3 linked regions of the Callithrix jacchus genome follow. The protein of the gene in region 1 binds, or shares a complex with, the protein of each later gene. Links are inferred from orthologs where the notes say so. Each region holds a gene or a part of one and is shown in the gene's direction. Other genes may lie near its edges.

What was found. Proteins that work in one complex are often made in the same cells at the same time.
Region 2: the proteins of RAB3IP (region 1) and RAB11A are in contact, whole or in part, in a crystal structure (PDB 4UJ5), measured with the Homo sapiens proteins. The link is inferred for Callithrix jacchus from reciprocal best matches to the Homo sapiens genes RAB3IP and RAB11A. Residues at the interface, in NP_783322.1 of Homo sapiens: Asn367, Thr368, Leu369, Ser370, Ile371, Glu372, Pro373, Asp412, Arg424, Thr428, Cys431, Asn432, Thr435, Tyr439, Leu444, Val445, Lys446, Gln447, Gln448; in NP_004654.1 of Homo sapiens: Phe36, Leu38, Glu39, Asp127, Leu128, Arg129, His130, Leu131, Arg132, Ala133, Pro135, Thr136, Leu156.
Region 3: the proteins of RAB3IP (region 1) and RAB8A are in contact, whole or in part, in a crystal structure (PDB 4LHX), measured with the Homo sapiens proteins. The link is inferred for Callithrix jacchus from reciprocal best matches to the Homo sapiens genes RAB3IP and RAB8A. Residues at the interface, in NP_783322.1 of Homo sapiens: Ser199, Arg202, Asp203, Gly206, Leu209, Glu210, Thr213, Ala214, Phe217, Glu218, Ala220, His221, Val224, Asn228; in NP_005361.2 of Homo sapiens: Lys10, Phe33, Ser35, Thr36, Phe37, Ile43, Asp44, Phe45, Lys46, Ile47, Trp62, Ile73, Ala76, Tyr77, Arg79, Gly80.

What each region holds. Positions count from the first base shown.
Region 1 is NC_133510.1:72,377,862-72,384,827, forward strand, and holds part of RAB3IP (rab-3A-interacting protein), read left to right. Parts: intron 1-2,223; coding exon 2,224-2,352; intron 2,353-3,591; coding exon 3,592-3,704; intron 3,705-6,966. UniProt on the Homo sapiens protein: Guanine nucleotide exchange factor (GEF) which may activate RAB8A and RAB8B. Promotes the exchange of GDP to GTP, converting inactive GDP-bound Rab proteins into their active GTP-bound form.
Region 2 is NC_133509.1:12,874,546-12,882,119, forward strand, and holds the start of RAB11A (ras-related protein Rab-11A), read left to right. Parts: upstream 1-3,335; 5' UTR 3,336-3,438; coding exon 3,439-3,478; intron 3,479-7,574. UniProt on the Homo sapiens protein: The small GTPases Rab are key regulators of intracellular membrane trafficking, from the formation of transport vesicles to their fusion with membranes.
Region 3 is NC_133523.1:14,724,393-14,732,130, forward strand, and holds the start of RAB8A (ras-related protein Rab-8A), read left to right. Parts: upstream 1-3,499; 5' UTR 3,500-3,513; coding exon 3,514-3,637; intron 3,638-7,738. UniProt on the Homo sapiens protein: The small GTPases Rab are key regulators of intracellular membrane trafficking, from the formation of transport vesicles to their fusion with membranes.

The sequences.
Region 1 (6,966 bases):
TAAAAATTTTTTTAAATTATTGCATACTATGAGAATGCATTTCTAAGAGGATTGATCAATAATTTATGAAGCTCTCCCATTTCTTCTTAGAAGCCATCTTTTACATTGTTGTTTCAAGTCCATCATTAATCTTGAAGAAATGTGTGTGCTTGTTAAATTTTTGTATGGAAACCAGGAGTTTATTAAATGGAATAACCAATGTTGTTAACCTGTTTTAATTGAATTGCATTTTGACTAATTTTTAATAAAAAAGATGCTGATAAGAGAGAAGTTCAGTACTTGGTTAGATCTGAATGTAACCAAATCCAAAATTTACATTGTTTTCTGTGAAATATTTAAGAAACTTTTTTTGTCCTGACTTTAATTTAAATTCTTTGGAATTTAGATAGCCTTATTAATTGCCTGGTCCAACTTGTATTTTTGCTGTTTCTCACTCAGTAAGTATAAGTAATTATGTACTTCACCCCATTTACACGAAAAAAATTTGAGTGTCTTCTCATGGAAAATTGTAAAGATTCATTTTTAATTTTTTGAAATCTTTTAAAATGTGTGTAGGCAGCATATAACTTCAAAATAATAATCTTTGCTTTCCAGGTATGAGTTATATTCTGATGTTTCATAAAAAGCTTGTCAAAAAGTCTTACTAGACAAAGGAATTACATAAATTTGACCTGTGTAAGTCTTATAAAAATATGTAACAATCTGGAAGAAAATGATGCATGTCTATGTTTTTGTAGAAAATATGGTGGAGTACTCAGTCAGACAAAAGCAACAGTTTGTCTTCTGTAACATTTAAAATATACATGCACGCTTGCAGACATAGATGCCAAGTGCGAGGCTTTGGGATTAAGCCACTTAGATTTGAATTTGGACTTTACTGCTTTCTTGCTATGCAATCTTGGGCAAGTTACAAATAGGGATCATAATATCTGCCTTGCACAGTTGTGAGGATTAAATGTTTGTAAAGTGCTTACAGTAGTTCCTGGCACAAGTCAGCTCTTAAAAAGTGGTTTAAATTACTGCCTTTGAACTAGAATCTTTCCTTAGAGTACCATTTACCTGCTTTGGGGTTTATGTCCATTTTCTCAGTAACTTTAGAAAGAAAATGCATTTGAAAATGTAAGTATTGCTTGTATGCTAATATTATTTATTTTTTTGCTTTTAGCTTTGATTCAAGGAATTTATTAATTGGGCTGAAAAAAAAATTCTTATGGAAATTGCCCTTATGCACCCTAAAAGGAAGTCTGTAGGAAAGCTTGGTTACCCTCAGCTCTTGGTTACATTCTTGTAGACTACTTGCACATCTGATTAAGCTATACTAAAGGCAGGCTATAGCTGTAGTGAGTGCATCATTTATGGTATGTCCAGTGCTTCTGGACTAGAGTGGCTTAGAGCTGTAGGATGAAGGAGACTGCTTTAGTTTGGGTGGCTGATGTCAGTGGAACTTTGTATTCCAGCAGATGGTATTGAGCTGGACTTAGGGAATCTGAGAATCTGTAAGGAAGAATACTTGGGGAAAATTTATTACAGAGGTGAGAAAGAGAGGGACAGCTGGAAGAGTAAATAGGAAGGCAGGTGCCAGCAGTGGATTATTACTGATGCCTAAGATGGTAGTTGCTGGATGCCCAAAATATGTCAAAAATATCTAAATAAATGTTATATTTTAAGGTAGTCAGTTTAGGAGGCTTTATGTGTTTTTTTTTAATCCTTCTGCAATAAATGTTTTGACAATTCTTTTGGGGATGCCTTCAAATGATAGTAGAACAATTAGTGTCATTTTTGATCCCAAACTAGGTTTCACAGTTCAGCCAGTCTCAGTTTATTCAGACACTTCAATTAATTAGGTTCCAGATTACTTTTTTATTATTTTTAGAAAAGACTTGTCATCATTTATTATAATCTGAATAGAGTGCCACTTGTGTCTTAAGAGGAACTCCAGCTTTTTTTGTGGGGATGGGAGAAGGGGCTCAGGGTGAGGGTAATGTTAGCATTATTGAACGTGGTAGTGGATGATAATAGAAAAAGGCAAATTGGCTATTTGGGAGTCATTTTTTAAAAGGAAAACTGCTACGAGGTATTATAACTAATCAAGAGTGGTTCAATTTATTATTTTAAATGAAGAGCATTTTTTAGTAATGTTTAAATTAGTTTTGATTTTGTAAAGTGGTTATGTTTGTACTTTTTAAAAAGTGTTTTTGTGTTTTCCTTTGGTTTGTTTGATAGGCTGACTTATCCTTGTATAATGAGTTCCGATTGTGGAAGGATGAGCCCACAATGGACAGGACATGTCCTTTTTTAGACAAAATCTACCAGGAAGATATCTTTCCATGTTTAACATTCTCAAAAAGCGAGGTAACTTTTTCATATTAGGAATACATTATAGTTGTTTCTATCTTTTTAAAACTAAATCGTGATATATATTTTAATATCTCTTACATAAATAAGTTATTATAAAATGTCATGTTTTACTATTTTTGCCATTCCATATTAGAATTATGATAATTTCTTGGCATTCAGTTACTGAACATCCTTATATAAGCAGAGACTCATTCACGCTAACATGTACTGCGTTGGAGTCAGGTATTAACTAGATATGGGGGATAGGGCTTATTTCTTGATTTGCAATCTAAGGTTCAGTGTAAGGGAAGTTCTCTGCACACCCAGTTAAAGGCATCTGTTGTGTCTATCTGTACATGATTCAAAATCTTATTTTTTTAACTTTAAAACAGGAAAAGTAATGTCTTTGCCCATGCCACAGGATTGTTAAAAGGATAAAATGAAGTAGATTAAGTAGATACAAAAAACTTAGAAAAATAAGGCAGTATAAAAATTTAAAGCTGTAATTTTAATTTGTTCTTACATGTGAAAGGTTTGTTTACAAATATCCTGTCAATTAAAGTATAAGAAATTTAATCCTAAGAGTCTTATGTTAAGCATTTCAAGGATTTAATTGTAATATTACTTATCAGAAGTTAAGATGAAAATTTTTCACACTTTTGATATGAATATGTGTTGTTCATTGTGGCTCTGTATCTGGTTTCAGGTAGGCCATTCAGTAATAGTAACCTTGACAGACTACAGAAGTTTGCCTGTTTCAAATCTAGTATAATTCCTGCCATCTTCATCTGGGCATTTAATGTTGGATAATTCAGCTAATTCTTTTGTAGACTCACTCTTGTGCACGTAAATACAAATTCAGAAAATATATAGCTAATTAATATATATTAGTGTGTTATAAATGATCAGTGTTTAAAAATACTGTATACATTTAGCAGAATAAAGCTTTAGGATATTAATTTTGAAGTGGTATTAACAGTAGATATTAATTGTGGGTAAAAAATGAACAGAAGCTGGAATTAATACCTTTAATCCTTGTCCAGATAATGAGGATAGTTATTTACCATAAGTGAATTGCCTTTCATAACAGTGTTTGGATTAGAAAATAAACCAAAATTGTGTGATTTTTTTCTTTTTCATTTGCTAAAGCAAAGCTAGTGGAACTTGGGAGAATAATTTATAAAATTAGTTTACTGTAGAATACAATTTTTATATTTTTCTGCCAGTGTAACATCTAATATATATTTTTTTAAGTTGGCTTCTGCTGTTCTGGAGGCTGTGGAAAACAATACTCTAAGCATTGAACCAGTGGGATTACAACCTATCCGGTTTGTGAAAGCTTCTGCAGTTGAATGTGGAGGACCAAAGTAGGTTTTTCCATGCATAACTTGTGAAAGTGACTGAGTTTTTGAAATGTTTTGGGTTGCAGTTATTTAGTTTTTCTGCTTTTAAATGTAGTTATATTTCCCTCAGATTTCTCTTTAGAGTCTGTGTAGCCCAAAGACGAATCCATGAGACACTGTGGAATATAGTATTTCAGATTTAGCATCAAAGGAGAGCGGTTTTAATTATGGATTGGTGCAAAAGTAATCGTGGTTTTTGCCATTGAAAGTAATGGCACCAAGCATGATTACTTTGGCACCAACTCAATGCAATAATATATATATATGATAGGACTAGAGATAGAAACCTGAGTGGTGGGGTGTGTGTGTGTGTGTGTGTGTGTGTGTGTGTATCTCATATTGTGACCTATCAGTGCATTGTGAAATCAGTTTAGTGGGTCATAAGCAGAATTTTTGTTTATTACACACATATATATAGCCATGTGTCCTGGGTTTCTGTATAAAATACTTCTCTCTGAAGGTGACCATCAAAAATAGTTTGGGAAGATACTGAGTTAAGACTAAATCATATCAATCATGAACGCAATGTACCAAAAAGACTTGCTGAGTTCTCTTCTTTCATATTATGTTTATAAAGGATTCTCACTTTAATAAACAATCAGTTTTATCTTTCATATGTGAATCTTACTTGAGAATTATAAACCTTCAGAGATAAGACTCCCACATTTCATAAGAGGACAGACTTTTTTCCCATCCAGTCCTATGAGGAGGAATAACTGAAAACAACAGTGCTTAACGCATCTGGCAAAGGTGAAAGGTTTTGCCTAAAACAGCATAATTGTGTCTTGCCTTTTATTTAGAAAATGACTTTGAAAGCTTTTGAGAAAGATGCTTATTAAATGCTAAAAGCCAGATCAATATAGGGAACTGGAAAGCCTGAGAGTGCTCATAGAAAGCATAACTGACTGCTGTCAGGGTTATTTTGAAGCGCGAAGAGGAAAAGACTGGTTGAGATGAACCAATGAAGTCTGTGTTAAAGCTGTTCTGGGGATTATGTATGCCTTTCTGTTCCTGTTAATGCTCGTTACATTCTCCACAAGATTACAGAATGTTGTTATTGAGGGGACGATTTGTTGGAGGGTTCCTAGTCATATATTTGATTTGCTCTGTAAGCCACATGTCCACCTCACTCCCCTAGTGCCACACCTGTACCACAGTAGCCTCTGAATTTTAGGGAAAGTATTTACATTCTTAAATTCTACAAACACAAGAGTATTTTTTTCTGATCCTTCCACCTCAAATATGGAGAATTAAATTTAATCATAGCAGTTTTTGTACTTTTAAAGTCTAAATTATGCCTCATTTTAAATATAGCATATGACAGTTTTTATTGTAGAGTTTAAAATTTGTGCTTGCATTATATATCACACATATACATGTGCACATATCATAAATGATAACAAATGGGGATATCAAACTAAAATGGATTTATAGTATCTTTAGTAAAATAATTATTAGTTTAGATTTAGAGAACAGTTTACAAAATTTAAGGATACTGTGCTTGTGGGAATCGGGCCAGAAATCAAGGCATTTGTGATGCATATCATTTGGAAAAAACTGAAGGAAGATAGTGTCTTCTTTAATGAAATGTGAAGTATGGCTCTGGCCGTAGCTCTTGTGAGCTGGAATGTGAAGATATTGACTAAATCAGTGGCACAACACTGAGGGCTTTGAAGAAGACAAGATCATTTCAGCTATGATTAGGTACTCTTCTTGAAGGGAGAGATTTTTGAAGCATAAGGGGAATTTGGATAAAGAGCAGTATATACAACTGAAGGCCTAGAAACAAGAAATCAAAGTGTGTTCAGAGGATGGTGAGCGTATGGAGAGGAAAGAGAAGATGTGAGAGATTTTAAGAAAGAAATGTTAGATTGGGGTGGGGGATGGGTAAAGGAGAAAGGAGTTAGAGATGTCTGACTGGAAGACTGATTTGAAGTGATTGTGGAAATTAACAGGAAAGACTTTGGTTTGTGGAAGGAGATTACAGGTCTAGATGTAGACATGTTGACATTTTCACATGAAAATGGCCAAACAAGGATTTGAAATCTTGGGTCTAGAGTTAAAGAGATATATTAATGTAGTGTATGTAGCATATTTGGAAAGAAAAATTGGAGTTGGAGGTCAGAGGTCTATTAGCATTGAATCTGTGGTTAACTACAAATATAGTAGTGTGTCCAGTTTACAAAATGGCTTAGAAATGAGATCTTTTAAGAAACACTATACACCATAGAATGCTATGCAACCATAAAAAAGAATGAGATCATGTCCTTTGCAGAGACATGGCTGGAGCTGGAGGCCATTATCCTTAGCAAACTAATGTAGGAACAGAGAACCAAATGCTACCTGTTCTCACTTACAAGTGGGAGCTAAATGATGAGAACACATGGACACATAGAAGGGAACTACACACACTGCAGCCTATGGAAGGGTGGAGGATGGGAAGAGGGAGAGGAACAGGTAGAATAATGGATACTAGGCTTAATACCTGGGTGATGAAATAATGTATATCACAACACCTATATAGCATATGTTTACCTATGTAATAAACCTGCACATCATGCACATGTACTCCTGAACTTAGAAGTTAAAAAAAAAACACTTATTGTTTTAAAAGTTGATACTTAAAGCCACCTTACCAGATCCATTTCAAAATTAAACTAAATAGTAGACCAGCAGGCATATATCTGTTTCCAGAAGAATAGTATATAAATTGATTTTTAGCAGCTTGATGGCACATTTTCCTCTTGTGTAGATTAGACTTTGGAAGTTCCACAGATTTCCAACACTTTGTGCTTTAAATTTCTAGATCTTCATCCTCCTCAAGCTAGTAGTTAGTGCTTTTAAATACTGTTACAGATCATTAAAGGAATTGCTAATAAAGAAACAATAAAGAAATAGCTTTTTGAAGAAAGATAGGAATTGGTTTGTGATTTTAATTGCCACCTCAAAAATTATCCTATTTACACATTGTTGTGTGTTTTCTTAATATAGAGGCACATTTGTATTATATTTAAGTATCACGAAAACATTGTTATTTAATGTATTTACTATATGATTTGTTCTGTCACATAAAATGCTACTGGCTACTCACTTTACTTAGAGCTATGCTAATTTTGCATTGATGGGGAGTGATAGTTGTATTAAGCCAGGTTTCTAGCTTAGGAGGGTGACAACTAGGTTGCTACAAGTCCAGCCTGATAGACATGCCAGCTTTACCTCACAGAGC
Region 2 (7,574 bases), on another chromosome or scaffold:
TCTTTTCAATAGATATTAAACCTGACTATATGTGGTGGCTCTCCGACTGCAGGTACGTGCCACCATGCCTGGCTAATTTTTTTTTTCTGAGATGGAATCTCACTCTATTACCCAGGCTGGAGTGCAGTGGCACAATCTCTACTCACTGCAACCTCCGCCTCCCAGGTTCAAGTGATTCTCTTGCCTCAGCCTCCTGAGTAGCTGGGATTACAGGTGCCTGTCACCATGCCTGGCTAATTTTTCTATTTTTAGTACAGACAGTGTTTCGCCATGTTGGTCAGGCTGGTGTGGAACTGCTGACCTCATGATCCACCTGCCTTGGCCTCCCAAAGTGCTAGGATTACAGGTGTGAGCCACCATACCTGGTTATTTTTTTATTTTTTGTAGAGATGACGTCTGACTCTGTTGCCCAGGCTGGTCTTGTACTCCTGGGCTGAAGCAGTCCTGCTAGCTCAGCCTCCCAAAGGGATGACAGCTATGAGCCTCCACACCCAGCCTGCAATAGCCTTCTGATACTTATACTTCTAGTCCTTCTTTATGCCAGTCTCGTAGGCTACAGCCAGGTTACTTTTACTAAGACCACGTTTACTTCAATCACCCCTCTGTCCACAAATCTTTTTTTCACTCCCCCTAAAAATTCAGAGGGATGTGAATAGTGTTCCATGCAAAAAATATTCTGTGTTCTGGTGAATTTCGGAAACGCTGTGTGAGTGTCCTAAGGAAAAACTTACCGTAGGACTTACTTGACCATGTAGCCCCTCCTGCCTTTTTTTTTTTTTTTTTTTGGTTATTAGCTAAATTTAAGATTCAGTTCTTCTTTTGAGGAATACTATGTCCTTTTCAGAGTACACATTAAGAGTGAATGACTGAAGGAGAAAAATTGGTAATTCTTCTAGCATGAATGGCCTTGCTGAATACGCTCTTACAATCTAATTCCTCCACTTCAGGGGTCCGTGCCTCGTCCTCCTCCTCCTCAGTGTCTTCTCCGGTACCTCCTCCTCCTCCAGTACCTCCTCCTCCTCCACCTCTGGCCTAGGCTGGAGAGCAGTGGTACGATCTTGTCTCACTGCAACCTCCATCTCCTGGGTTCATCAGGCTGGGTTCCTGCCTCAGCCTCCCGAGTAGCTGAGATTACAGGACCTTACTATCACTTTATAGTGACAGAGAAAGCACTGAAATTGGCACTGTATTCATTTTCTATTGCTTCCATAACAAATTACCATAAACTTGGTGACTTAAAACAACACAAATTTATTATTTATAGTAGTGTAGGTCACAACTCTGACAAGAGTCTCACTGGGCTAAAATCAAGTTGTCAGCAGGGCTGTGTTGCTTCTGGGGGCCTTATGAAATAATCTGCTACCATGCCTTTCCCAGCTTCTAGAACCCTCCGGATTCCTAGTCTCCTGGGCCCCTTTCCTCCATCTTCAAAGCCAGCAAGGGCAGGTTGAGGTTTTTTTTTTTTTTTTTTGGATGGAGTCTCACACTGTCGCCTGGGCGGGAGTGCAATGGTGAGATCTCAGCTCACTACAACCTCTGCCTCCTGGGTTCATGGGATTCTCCTGCCTCAGCCTCCTGAATAGCTGGGATTACAGGTGTACACTACCAAACCCGTCTAACTTTTTTGTGTTTTTTTAGTAGAGAAGGGTTTTTAACATGTTGGCCAGACTGGTCTCGATCGAACTCCTGACCTCGTGATCCACCCACCTCGGCCTCCCAAAGTGCTGGGATTACAGGTGTCAGCCGCTGTGCCTGGCCCATTTTCCTCTTTTAAGGACCCTTAAGACAACACTGGGGCCACCCAAATAATCCAGGATATATCCCTAATTTAATGTCAGTTGATTGGCAACCTTAATTCCATCTGTAACCTCTATTCTCCTTTGCCATGTAACCTAACCTATTCAGTCTTCAGGAATTGGAAAATGGACATCATTGGCAGGGGTCAATATTCTGCCTGTTATAGGCACTCCTTCCCACAATTCTAAATTGAGAGTTTGCATATAGGAGGTAGGAGGTGTGACAATAATTGGAAAAAGGCTTTTCTGGAATTACAAAATTCTCTTCAAATACAGGGAGGCCCCACAGCATGATATCCGACAAATCACTTGAGTCTTAGTATCCAAATTTCCGCTAAAATGGAAATTGCCATCCTTAGCCCAGCATGTTAAATGAAATACTTATGTAAAAGGACTTAGATTAGAGGCCTACAAATAGGACTCAAGTTCTTGATGAATCTTGATGAGGAGGGTGGGCGAAGTACTCTAAATGTTTGAAAGATTTCCAGAGAGGAATGAGTGACAAAAGCGCCTACCCTTGCATGAAGCTGGAGGTAGAAAATTCCAGCAAAAGAAATTTTCAAGTTTCATTGAAGCTTCTGAACTAAGGTTTGAGGGACCAGGCTAAAAAATAGGCAAAGAGAAGAGGCTCAGTAAGACAACCCCCACCAAGTAGCAGACAGTACCTGAAATGCAGTGGGAAATTTGTGAGGTCTTCATAGGCAAGGGTTAAGTTTTACATCTCCATCTTAATTCTAGTGAAGATATATCATAGTTGTTCAATTACTTAGTGAACAAAAATGTGAATTAAAAATGTCAAGAGGGCTGGGCACGGTAGCTCACGCCTATAATCCCAGCGCTTTGGGAGGCCGAGGCGGGTAGATCACGAGGTCAAAAGATCGAGACCATCCTGGTCAACATGGTGAAACCCCGTCTCTACTAAAAATATAAAAATTAGCTGGGCATGGTGGTGCGCACCTGTAGTCCCAGCTACTCTGGAGGCTGAGGCAGGAGAATTGCTTGAACCCAGGAGGCGGAGGTTGCTGTGAGCCGAGATCGTGCCATTGCACTCCAGCCTGGGTAACTCCTTGTCAAGAAAAAACTATATACATTGTCAAGGAAAAAAATGAAGCAGTGCAGGTTCCACCGAGATTTGAACTCGGATCGCTGGATTCAGAGTCCAGAGTGCTAACCATTACACCATGGAACCTCCACGAATGTGTAGCTGCCTTGGGCTCACTAACCCTTAGAGAACCCCGCCCCCATCCACAAACTCTCCACCCAGAGGCGGTCTGGCCGGTTCCAGCGAGCCGCTTCCGGGCACGGTAGCTCGAGAAATGAGCAAGAGGCCACTAAGACCATGGTGAACTAGTAATTCTAGGGCTCAATTTCCCCTCTGAGCTTCTTTTAGCAGCGAAAGTTTGAAGTCTTAAGCCATGCGACTCTCGCGCACACCGCCCTTCTTGAGCTCAGGGGCGGGGCGCCGCCCCCGGAAGTACTTCCTCTTAGAGGCTGGGGCCTGTCGGAAGTGGCGCAGCTGCAGGGAGGGGCTCTCCACCCAGTCCGGCCGCTGAAGCTCGGCGTTCGGGTTACCCCTGCAGCGACGCCCCCTGGTCCCACAGATACCACTGCTGCTCCCGCCCTTTCGCTCCACGGCCGCGCAATGGGCACCCGCGACGACGAGTACGACTACCTCTTTAAAGGTGAGGCCATGGGCTCTCGCACTCTACACAGTCCCCGTTGGGGGACCTCGGACGCTCCCGGCGGACCCGCCTGCCGGCCACCCCGGCGCTGATATAGGCCTGCCTCAGCCCCTCCTTTCTGTGCGGTTCCGGCTCCTACCCAGCTCGGCGTCTTCTCCCCGCTCAGACAGGGGTCCGCGTCACTTGCCGCTCTGAGCGACCTCCATGGAGGCCTTCGCTGGCCTTAGAGCCCCTCCCTGCGTGTCCTTCCCCCGGTGAACTGCCTTCTCCCCACATCGTGGAATTCCTTTCCCCGGGTTCCACGGCCCCGCCGCTCCTCCCACCGTCTCTCTTTTTGGGTGTAGCGCCCCCTCCCACTCGGTGTACAACCTTCCCGGCTCGCGTCCTCTCTCGAAGCCCCTCTGACGGGTTCTTCGCTTCCCTCCTTGCCTTTCCTTCGGCGCAGACTCCCACTACAGGTCTTTTTCTTATCTGCCCCCTTTCCTCCCTCCCTTCGGACTGCCGCCCGCTCTTAGCTTCGCCCATCCCGGGTCCAGGACCCCGTAAAATGTGAGCGGACCGGGGGCCCCAACTACCAACCCCTCCCCCGCCCCGCGCCCTCCACCCCCACCTCTCGCCGGGCGGTTCTCGCGGTCCTTAACCTTCTCTGACCGCTCCCTCCCCCACTCCCCATTTGGCAACTCTTTCTCTACCTTCCCTCCCCAAATTGTGTTTAGAGCTCCCGTGTCTCCATTGCGACCCGGGTAGTGGGAGGGAGGGTAAGAGGGATCGCCCGTCACCCACGCGCGCACTTGTCGCAGTGACCCGGCAGGCTGACATTACTTCCCACCTAGCCTTTCATTCTCTTGCCTTCCCCATCCAGTAGCACCCAACCCTGGGTAACTCTTGACTCGGTTCGCGAGAAGGGTTTGCGGATGGGTGGTGGCTGTTATCCTTGCCAGACCTGAAGGCCCGGTTCCTGAGCAGGAAAGGTTGTGCGCTGCACAAATACTAGCTTGCTTTATCTCTCTGGACTGGTTGCTTCCTGCTGCAACACTGGGAGGATCCAACAGGAAGGGAAGAGCCCTAGTTGGCCACATACCTTTCCCAAAAGGTTGGGGGTGGGAGGAAGTTGTGTACTCTTTTGGTCACATTAGATATTTGTTATAAGATATGGAAACATGTAGGGTCCTTGGCTAAAACATAAAGGAGGGTCGGGGTGGTTAGAAAGAGTTGCTTATTGGTTGAGTCCGGAAAGAATCCAGATAGTTTTTTTTAAATCGACGAAGATAAAGGGTACATTTTTCAGTGAGAAGAGAGTACAGTAGATGCTTTTTTTGTTCAGTGAATGCGCTCTCACTCTGATGCTCTTTCTCTGCTCCTGAATTGGGAAGGTAGCCATCAGTAGCGTGCCGAACAAAGATCATTAGCAGTGAGGAAGAAGCTATTGCTATTAAAGCTTTACTGTGGAGGGTGGAGTTTAAAGAGTGTTAAGCATGGTGACTGTTGACTTTGCCATTGGGTGCTAAGAATGATTGACCAAACCAGGGAGGAAAGATTTCTTTGCTTTCCCAGTACTTTGCAAATCTTGTTATGCTAGCCTGCTGTCATACATACTCTTCCTCTGACCCAGAATATACTATTGTATAGGGTGAACACTTTCAGTATCCACCCTCACCCCCATACTGGAAAGTACTTTCAGGGTACTTAATTCATTTTACAAATACAAAACTGAGGCCTGGATTACAGAAAGTATACTACAACATACCTTTTGCCGAAGGCATCTGAGATGATGTGAAATTATTTGAGTCTTTTGAGGCTTTGGGGTTAAAGGGAGGTTTGTGTTTTAAAATATGTTGTGGTGGTAGTATGCCACTGACTGCCTTTGAAGTAATTAATTCAGAACAAAATGGACCCTCGGGGTATTTCTCTTGTTTGGTTTCAACTTGAATGTTGGTTATAGAAGGTCTATTTATTTATTTATTTGCGACAGAGTTTTGCTTTGTCGCCAGGCGCCGGGCTGGAGTGCAGTGGCCGATCTCGGCTCACTTCAACCTCCGCCTCCCGGGTTCAAGCAATTCTCCTACCTCAGCCTCCTGAGTAGCTGAGACTACAGCTGCGGACGACCACGCCTAATTTTTTTTTTTTTTTTTTTTTTTTAAAGTAGAGACGGGGTTTCACCATGTTGGCCAGGATGGTCTTGATCTCTTGACCTCATGATCCGACCACCTCAGCCTCCCAAATTGCTGGGATTACAGGCATGAGCCTCCACGCCCGGCTGGTCTTTTAATTTTTTAAGCAAAGAATGTTAAATATTCTAAATTGGCCTAAGGTTTTTCAACTTTTTGATTAGACCATCCTTCTAACAACGATTGAGAGCACTGAGCTTTGGAATCACGTAGACCTCAGTTTAGATCCTGACTCAGGTCTTAAATTTACTTTGTGACCTTGGAAAAGTTCCCTTTTCTGAGTCTCAGATATCTCATGTATAAAAAGAAAAATACCTGCCTCTTAAGATTGTTGTGAGAATTAAATGAGACTGTAAACTTTTAACCATGAGGACTCAATAAATAGTAATGTGAAAGAAGTTATTGTGGTTTTGTGTGTGTGTGTGTGTGTGTGTATTTTGAAACAGGGTCTCCCTCTGTCCCCCAGGCTGGAGTGCAGTGGTGCAATCAAGGCTCACTGCAGTCTCCACCTCCCCAGGCTCAGGTGACCCTCCCACCTCTGCCTCCCTAGCTACTCCCTCGCTCCTAGGAGTAGCTGAGACTAGAAGACTGGCACTACCACACCCAGCTAATTTTTTTTTTTTTTTTTTTGAAAGACAGGGTTTTGCTGTGTTGCCCACGCTGTTCTCACACTCCTGGACTTAAGCAGTCCACCTGTCTCAGCATCCCAGAGTGCTGAGATTACAGGCGTGAGCCTGGCCTTTGTCAGTTTTTTGAACCTTAAATGTAGTTTCAACTACAAGAGCATTTAAATATTATTAAAGAAACATAAAACCAGGAAATTCTAATGCATTTTATGTTTCCATGGATTATGATTGCATTTTATTGTGCATTTTGCTGTTTAAGATAGGGTGTTGAAAATTCTGCTGAGGAGGAGCTCTACTTTTCTTTTTTTTTTAAATTGAGATGGACTTTTACTCTTGTTGCCCAGGCTGGAGTGCAGTGGCGAGATCTCGGTTCACTGCAACCTCCGCCTCCTGTGTTCAAGTGAGTAGCTGGGATTATAGGCATGTACCACCACGCCCGTCTAATTTTGTATTTTTAGTAGAGGCAGAATTTCTCCATGTTGGTCAGGCTGATCTTGAACTCCTGACCTCAGGTGATCCGCCTGCCTCAGCCTCCAAAGTGCTGGGGTTATAGGCATGGGCCACCATGCCTGGCTGGATTTCTGTTTTTTTAAAGCTCTTACAGGATATGAGTCACTTTTTTTTTTTTTTTTTTTACTTTAATGCTGATTAGCCAATTTCTTATTTATACAAGTACCCTACTTTAAAGTGAAGCAAGAATGATTTTATTTTAAAATGGCTTTATTGTACGGAGATTTATTCACTGAGATAGACTGCAGCTGTCTCTACTTAGAAGATTTACCTAGCAAATGCAGTAGTTGAGGGAATTGGAGTTAGTTTCTAACTAACCAGTTGAAAATAAAGGGATATTTTGAGTAGTATGGGATGGAGTGGTTTAAATAGAAATGTAATGTGGGGGAAGCAGGACGGTTATTCTAAATTATGTATTTTTTCTTGAATATTAACCTTTAGTTAAGCCCAATAGTGAGACATTTCGTGGGAGGGAATTACTTTTATTAAACTTGACTTTTTATTTTTAAAACTTTAGTAAGTATTTACAAACAATATGGTTAAGGTCCTGTGGGACCTTATAAGTAAGCATCAGTTATAATTTCTATTTATAAATATTGTGTGGCAGACATCAATCTAAAGTTACATTTTCTGAAAATACCTTGTTATATAGTCTATTGCTTAAGACATTTTCTTGGCCAGGTGTGGTGGCTCATGCCTGTAATCCCAGCACTTTGGGAGGCCAAGGCGTGCCGATGACGAGGTCGGGAGATGTAGACCATCCTGGTCAACATGGTGAAACCCCGTCTCTAC
Region 3 (7,738 bases), on another chromosome or scaffold:
GGAATCCTTCCACCTCTGCCTCCAGAATAGTTGGGACTACAGGTATGTGCCCAGCTAATTTTTGTTATTTATTTATTTGAGACAGTTTGGCTCTTGTTGCCCAGGCTGGAGTGCAATGGTGCTTATCTCGGCTCACTGCAACCTCTACCTCCCAGGTTCAAGAGATTCTCCTGCCTCACCCTCCCGAGTAGCTGGGATTACAGGCCACATGCCACCCCGCCGGGCTAATTTTTTTGTATTTTTAGTAGAGATGGGGTTTCTCCATGTTGGTCAGGCTGGTCTCTAACTCCCAACCTCAGGTGATCTGCCTGCCTCGGCCTCCCAAAGTGCTTGGGATTACAGGCGTGAGCCACCACATCCAGCCTAATTTTTGTAATTTTAATTGAGACAGTTTCGCCACGTTGACCAGGCTGGTCTCAAATGCCTGACCTCAAGTAACCTGGCTGCCTCAGCCTCCCTTAGTGCTGGGATTACAGGCGTGAGCCACAGTGCCCAGAGTAAAGTAAGTGTTTTACAATAACCACACTGCAGGGTGGAGTCTGGATTAGACAAAATGGACAGGGAGACCAGTGGAGAAACGCGATGATTCCACTGTGGCAATGGAAAAGGAAGAACCAGATTCAAGAGATATTGTTTGTTTTATTTTTTATTTTTGAGACCAAGTCTTGCTCTGTCACCCAGGCTGGAGTGCAGTGGTGCAATCTCAGCTAACTGCAACCTCCACCTCCCCAATTCAAGCCATTCTTCTGCCTCAGCTTCCTGAGTAGCTGGAATTATAGGCACGCACCACCATGCCCAGCTACTTTTTAAAATTTTTAGTAGAGACGGGGTTTCACCATGTTGGCCAGGCTGGTCTCGAACTCCTGACCTCAGGTGATCCACCCGCCTCAGCCTCCAAAAGTGCTGGGATTACAGGCGTGAGCCATGGCGCCCGGCCCTCAAGAGCTATTTAGAACCTCCTTAAAAACCAGGATGTGACAGATGAGAGATGAAAGGCAGCTGTCACAAATGGCTTAAGTTTCACTCGCAAGGAAAATCAGGACAAGCCGGTCTGGATATTAGCTGATGAGTTCAGTTGTGAACATGCTGAGTTAGGAGTAGCTGACAAATCCAAAGTGAGATGTCCAGAACACAGATGGATGTGAAGAGATGGCTTGGCTAAGGGTCAAACAATGAGACTGGTCAGCGTGGAGACATTAGGAGCACCCAGAAAGTGAGAACAGAGACAGAACACGAGAAACACAAATTCTAAGGGACAAGCAGAAACCACCCCCTGCCCCCCAAAAAAGACTGCATTGGGGTCTGAGAAAAATAACCAATCAAAGAAAGGGAGGGAGAGGTGGTAGGGAGAAGAAACCAGCAAATAAAATAGAGATAGGGCCAGGCGTGGGGTTCACACCTGTGATCCCAGCACTTTGGTAGGCAGAGGCAGGGGGCAGAGGGCAGATCACTTGAGGCCAGAAGTTCGAGACCAGCCTGGCCAGTATGGTGAAACCCCCATCTCGACTAAAAATACAAATTAGGTGTGGTGGCAGGCACCTGTAATCCCAGCTCTTTTGGGAGGCTGAGGCAGGAGAATCTCTTGAATCCTGGAGACGAAGGTTGCAGTGAGCAAAATCACACCACTGCACTCCAGCCTGGGCGACAGAACAAGACCCTGTCTCAAAAATAAGTACATAAATAAAATGAGGATGATACCAAGAAAAAATAGACTATTCAGAGGTGGTCAAGACTTTCAAATCCCACAGAGGCTGAGGCCTGTGAAGTGGTCAGTGGCTCTTGTTGAAGCTTTTCTTAGCCAGAGCTATATTAGCAGAATGAGCTGAAGTGGAAGGGAGGAGGAAAGGCTGGGGCCATCCTTCTGCAGACCCTTAAGTGAGCCTCCAGGCCCTGGAGGCCCCAGAGTGACCTAAGAGAGACTGGGCCATCTCTAAGAAGCAGGAAGCCCTAGTGAGCAAATTGCAGCCTGGGAAGACTGGCACTCTGAATTCTGATACCAACTTCTACTTTTGAGTGGGGAGGGGGAAAAAGTCACTTAACCTCCTCTGGCTTCAGTTTTCTCACCATCAAATGGGAAAAAAACAGTATCATTTTGCTGGGCTGGTACTGGGATTAAAGTTTTTTAAGTCAGGGCTTTGCTCTGTCACCCAGGCTGGAGTGCAGTGGTGCAATCATGGCTCACTGCAGCCTTGACCTCCAAGGCTAAAGGGATCCTCCCACCTTAGCCTCCTGAGTAGTTGGGACTACAAGCATGCAATACCACACCTGGCTAATTTTTTTTAAGTTTTTTTGTTTTGTTTTTTTTTTTGAAAGAGTCTCGCTCTGTCACCCAAGCTGGAATGCAGTGGTCTCGAACTCCTGACCTCAAGTGATCTGCCTGCCTCAGCTCCCAAACTGCTGGGATTACAGGCATGAGCCACCAGACCCGGCTGCAAGCCCGATTTTCCTAATGTATCCCTCCTTTTCTTTTTTCGAGTGTCTCGCTCTGTCGCCCAGGCTGGAGTGCAGTGGGGCAATCAAGGCTAGTGGAGCCTCAATCTCCTGGCCTCAAGCGATCCTCCGCCTCGGCCTCCAGAAGCGCTATGATCACAGGCGGAAGCCACCGCGACGGTCTGTTTTTTCAATGTTGAGAGGACCACCAGACACAGAACCGCCGACCCTAGATAGGACCCAGCATCCTCACTGCCCTAACCCGCAAGGCTGGCCCGGACAACCCCTAAGGCGGCCGAGGGCGGGCCCTGAGGGGGACGGCGCGCGCCTTGGGGCACAGCTCGTGGCGGTGACGCCGCTCAGGTGGCGGAGAGCTTGGGTATCTCTAAGCAGGTTGCCAAGCCACAGCCGAGACCTCGGATCTCGCCTCGGGGGTCACTTTTCGATTATACAGCGCTTCCTCTCTCCTTCCTCCCTCGGCTCACGCTGCCCCGGCAGACCACAGACGTATAAAAAAGCTCTTCAGTCCTTTCCCGCGCTCGCTTCGGCGCCTACTGAGGCTGCGCGAATTGTGAGGGCGAGACCCAGAGATACCCTCCCCAACTATGCGCGTGCGCCCTCTGCTGGCGCCTAACGGACCTCCGGGTGCGCGTGCGCACGCACCCCAAGCCCCGCCCACAGACTGTCGGCGCGCGAGCCGTTGGCGCTGCTCGCTGCTTTCCCTCTCCCATTTTGGGGCGGGGCCGGGCCGCCGAGTCTGTGGTGGAGGCAGGGGCCACATAATGCCACGCCCCCGTCTCGTCCCCCTTTGAAGCCCCTCGACTCTTTACTGCTGGTCAATCAGAGCCCGTCCTCATATCAGTGCTGGCCAATGGGAGGTACGCTCGGGCTGCTTCCGGCTCCGCGCTACGCTCGCCCCCTCCCCAGGTCTCCCCGCGGCGGGCGGGACTCAGGGGCGAGTGTCGGCCGCGGTGACACGCTGCGGGCCTGGAGCCAATAAGGGGCGGGCTCGGCGCTGATGGACGGGGCTGGTGGCCAGTGGATAGGCGCTAGCTGCACTTCCTGTCGGGGAGAGAGTGTAATATGGCGAAGACCTACGATTACCTGTTCAAGCTGCTGCTGATCGGGGACTCGGGGGTGGGGAAGACCTGTGTCCTGTTCCGCTTCTCCGAGGACGCCTTCAACTCCACGTTTATCTCCACCATAGGTAGCGGGATCCGGGAGTGGCTAGGGGCGCCGGAGGCCCGGGCTGGGCGCGCCCCTGAGGGGCTGGGGCTGAGAAATCTACCCTGCTGGGCGGGCCGAGGGCTCTGAGAGGGTCGAAGGGAGAAGAGCAGCCGCCTGCACCGCCGTTTCGGGGTTCATGGGCCGTGGCGGGGGAGACCAGGTGCCCATTTTGCAGATGGGGTGACTGAGGCTCCCATCCTCAGCCCGCTCGTTAGGGAGTGTTATGTCCTGGGCAGGCGTCTTCGCACCCGTCCTTTCGGTCTGTCCTAGCAGCAGCCCTCGAAGCGGTTCTTTTGCGGTTCCTGTCTTACAGAGGTGGAAACTGAGTCATGAGGAATTGGCTGTGGGAAAAAGACGGTGACATGTCGCCTTAATGAGCAATTGCTATGTGCCAAGTCCTTCACGTGCATTTCCACACTCTAGTTTCGGTGTTTTAAGTGCTGTTATGAGCCCGTCTCACAGATGAGTAATTTGAGGCTCAGGGAGGGCGTGGGACTTATCCAAGGCCACACAGTCTGCAGGTGGTGAGAATGGGATTTAATGGAATTTAATCCTGGCTGTGTCTCACCCCAAAACTCGAGGCTTAGCTCTTCTAGAGAGTTAGCACCACACACCCCTGGCTGATGACAAACTCAGTTAATGCACCTTGGAGCCGGGACTCTAACTCACACCATTCCTCCTCTTCTCTGGAGCATCCAGAGGTTGAGTCCCTCTCCTTGCCATGTTTTCCCCCATAAGTGTATTTTCCTCTAGAAGAAATGATAAGAGGAGTCAGGACCTTTTCCCTGCCTGCCTTTTATCCTGCTCCAGGATGACAGCAATGGCAAGTGACAGTGCTGCCTGCCCTGGGACCTGTCATCCCCAAGAAGATGCAAGATAAAACCCTCAATGAGAAACTAAATCAGCCACTGCCACAGACAGCCTTGACTTCCCTATCAAAGGGCCCAGGACACCGGTTGTCAATTTAGAACAGCTTTTCCCGTAGGGCCAGCCCACATCGTGGTTGAACAAAATTGGCTTGTTGTGATGTCTCAGTTGTGATGTCCACAGAAGTAGAGTTGACCTCTCTCAGCGCCACAGAAGCAGTCCTGGCCCACGATGAAAAGGTTAGACCTGGGAGTAACACCGATCAGAGTGGCCTGTGAGCTCTGCAGCCCTGCTAGGGATGGGGATAGTGAGGGAACGGTCACTAAGTCAAGGAGTTTATTCAAAGTCAAGAAAACATAGAGAATGGCCTTTGCTTTATGTGTGACTTCAACAGAATCGTGTTATCTCCCTAAATCTCATGATAATGTGCCAATTCCATTCTTGCCCCCCTCGAGGAGCTGCACTTTATGAAACAGTTATATGCCAGATGTAAAGTAGAGAGAATTAACTGGAAATCATCATGTCTGGTTCCTAGTTGCTGCTGGCCCTTGAACGTGCACTACCCCTCTCTGACCCCTGCTGTCTTCAGAGCAGGAGTGACGCTGTCTGCCTGGGCTAGTGCCCTGGTGGTTGAGGACTAGAATTAGACAATAAGGGGTTGTCATCACAACCAGAGGCCATCTAGAGAAAACAAATGAATGGCTCCTGTGGTGACAGCTTCCACCCTCTGAAGACAGATGTTTCTGAATTCTTCCCCCTCCCCCACTCCAAGGCCAAGCTTTAGGGTAACCCTTGTGCCCCAGCCAATCAAAAAGTGGCTTTAATTCAGCCTGGACGACAGGGCAAAACCCCATCTCTGCAAAAAATCAAATGAAATTAGCTAGGCATAGTGGCTCACCCATGTAGACCCAGCCACTTAGGAGGCTTAGGTGGGAGGGTGGATTGAGCGCAGGAGGTCAAGGTGCGGTGAGCTCTGATGGCGCCACTGCACTCCAGCCTGGGCAACAGAGCGAGACCCTGTCTCAAAAAAAAAGAATACAACTGTGGGCAGACTGTGGCTTGCATTTACCCAGTTCCCAGTTTCCTAGCCTCAGCACCTTCCCCTCAAACCCCCTCTTTAGAGTTACTTTAAAGCTTTAAAGAGGCCATCTTCCATTTGCAGATGAGGATATGACTTGGTGAAAGTTAACCTAGCAAGGTGACCCCAAGATCCCTCCCTCCCACCCCAGCGTTCCGCTCCTTCCATTTGTAGCCTTCTGTCTTCTAGGAAAGTCTAATTCACCGTGACCTTGAAGTTCAGGCCTCATAATTCTTAGGTCTCATAAAGTTTGCACTTCCTAATTAAATTTGGCGTGTTAATAAAACCCAGCAGGAGTGTAGGGCAGAGCGCTACTGTGGAGCTTAGCCAACCTAACAGTGCTCCTTGATTTTGTGTGTCCCTGTGCACGCATGGCAGGAGGTGGGGTATGCTTTAGGAAGCCTAGGCACACTGGGCTGTCTAATCCTGAAGCAGAATCTCTCAATGCTTAAAGACAATTCCATAAATTAGCCAGACGTGGTGGCACTTGCCTATAGTCCCAGCTACTCGTGAGGCTGAGGCAGGAGAATCGCTTGAACCCAGGGGGCAGAAGTTGCAGTGAGCCGAGATTGTGCCACTGCACTCCAGCCTGGGCAACAGAGCGAGACTGTCTCAAAAAAAAAAAAAAAAAGCGATTCCGTGTTGGCTGAGGGCACCTCTGGGTTTTCTTTATAGACCAAGGATTGAGTGGCTGTTCATTTTCTGCCACTCAGTCCTTAACATTTTGCCAAAAGTAACATATCGCCAAAATCTATTCTCAGAAGCCCCATCGATCATTTTGTGGTGTGAACTTGGCCCTGTGGCTCCCTGGAATGGGTTCTCACCAGCCTGGCTGAGTGCCACTGACTCCTCAGGGGCCCATTCATTCCTCCAGTGACAGGGTTGGCGTGTGAGAAAGTGCTTTGTGAACCGCTCAGCACCGCATAGACCCTGTTGCGCTTTATTTCTTTGATCCGGCCATATTTTGCCAAGGCCTCTGTGGGCCAGGCAGCCGCTTTGGCACGAGGGCTGCAGAGAGGACCGAGTGAGTCAAGGTGCACGCAGGACTGTGCTACCAGCTTCTAGCAAATGCATATTGAGTCACTGGGAGGGAAAAGCAGTGGATGAGACCATCAAGTCCCTGCCTCCAGGGAGCTTATGTTTGAGAGGGCGAAATTCCAGTGCTGAGGCTGGCTGGATGGAATTAGCATCCCCACCCTGGGTTCAGAGAGGTCCAGCCAGGCCTGGGCCTCAAGTCTTCCCCGGCAGGGATTTGAAGAAACTCCTAGTGGCAAAGGCTGAGTCTGGCTGTTCCTCGTCCACCCGGGTCATTAGGATCTGCAAGCATTACACCCAGGTCCATGCAGCTGGTGACACAAATATAGGTCGGATAAGTTAATAAATAGGTAAGAGCAAGTGGATGAGGATGGTCAGGAAGGCTCCCTTCGGGAGGGATCTTGAATAGGGACCTGAACAAAGGGATAGCCAGGGAGCTACAGAAGGAAAGAACTTTCCAGGACAGGGAAGAGCAAGCGTAGAAGCCCCGAGTCAGGAGCGTGCTTGGAATGTTTAGGAAATAGCTGTGTGGATGGTGTGGCTGGAAAGAGAAGGTCATGAGCCAGAGTCCCAAGAGGTGACTAGGTTAGGCGGGACCTCGGCACACCGGGGCAGCTGTTTCCACTTTATTCGAGGGAAGAGGGACCGGGAAGCCACTGGAAGATGCTTTTTTGTGGAAAAAAAAAAATAGCTTTACATGGCCGGGTGCAGTGGCTCAAGCCTGTAATCCCAGCACTTTGGGAAGCCGAGGTGGGTGGATCACGAGGTTAAGAGATCGAGACTATCCTGGTTAACATGGTGAAACTCCATCTCTACTAAATAAATACAAAAAATTAGCTGGGCATGGTGGCGCATGCCTGTAATCCCAGCTACTCAGGAGGCTGAGGCAGGAGAATTGCTTGAACCCAGGATGCAGAGGTTGCAGTGAGCCGAGATTGTGCCATTGCACTCCAGCCTGGGTAACAAGAGTGAAACTCCATCTCAAAAAAAAAAAAATAGCTTTACTGAGATAGAATTCTCATACTCCTGCCAGCCACAGTGGCTCACACCTGTTATCCCAGCACTTTGAGCGGCCGAGGTGGGGGGAATCACCTGAGGTCA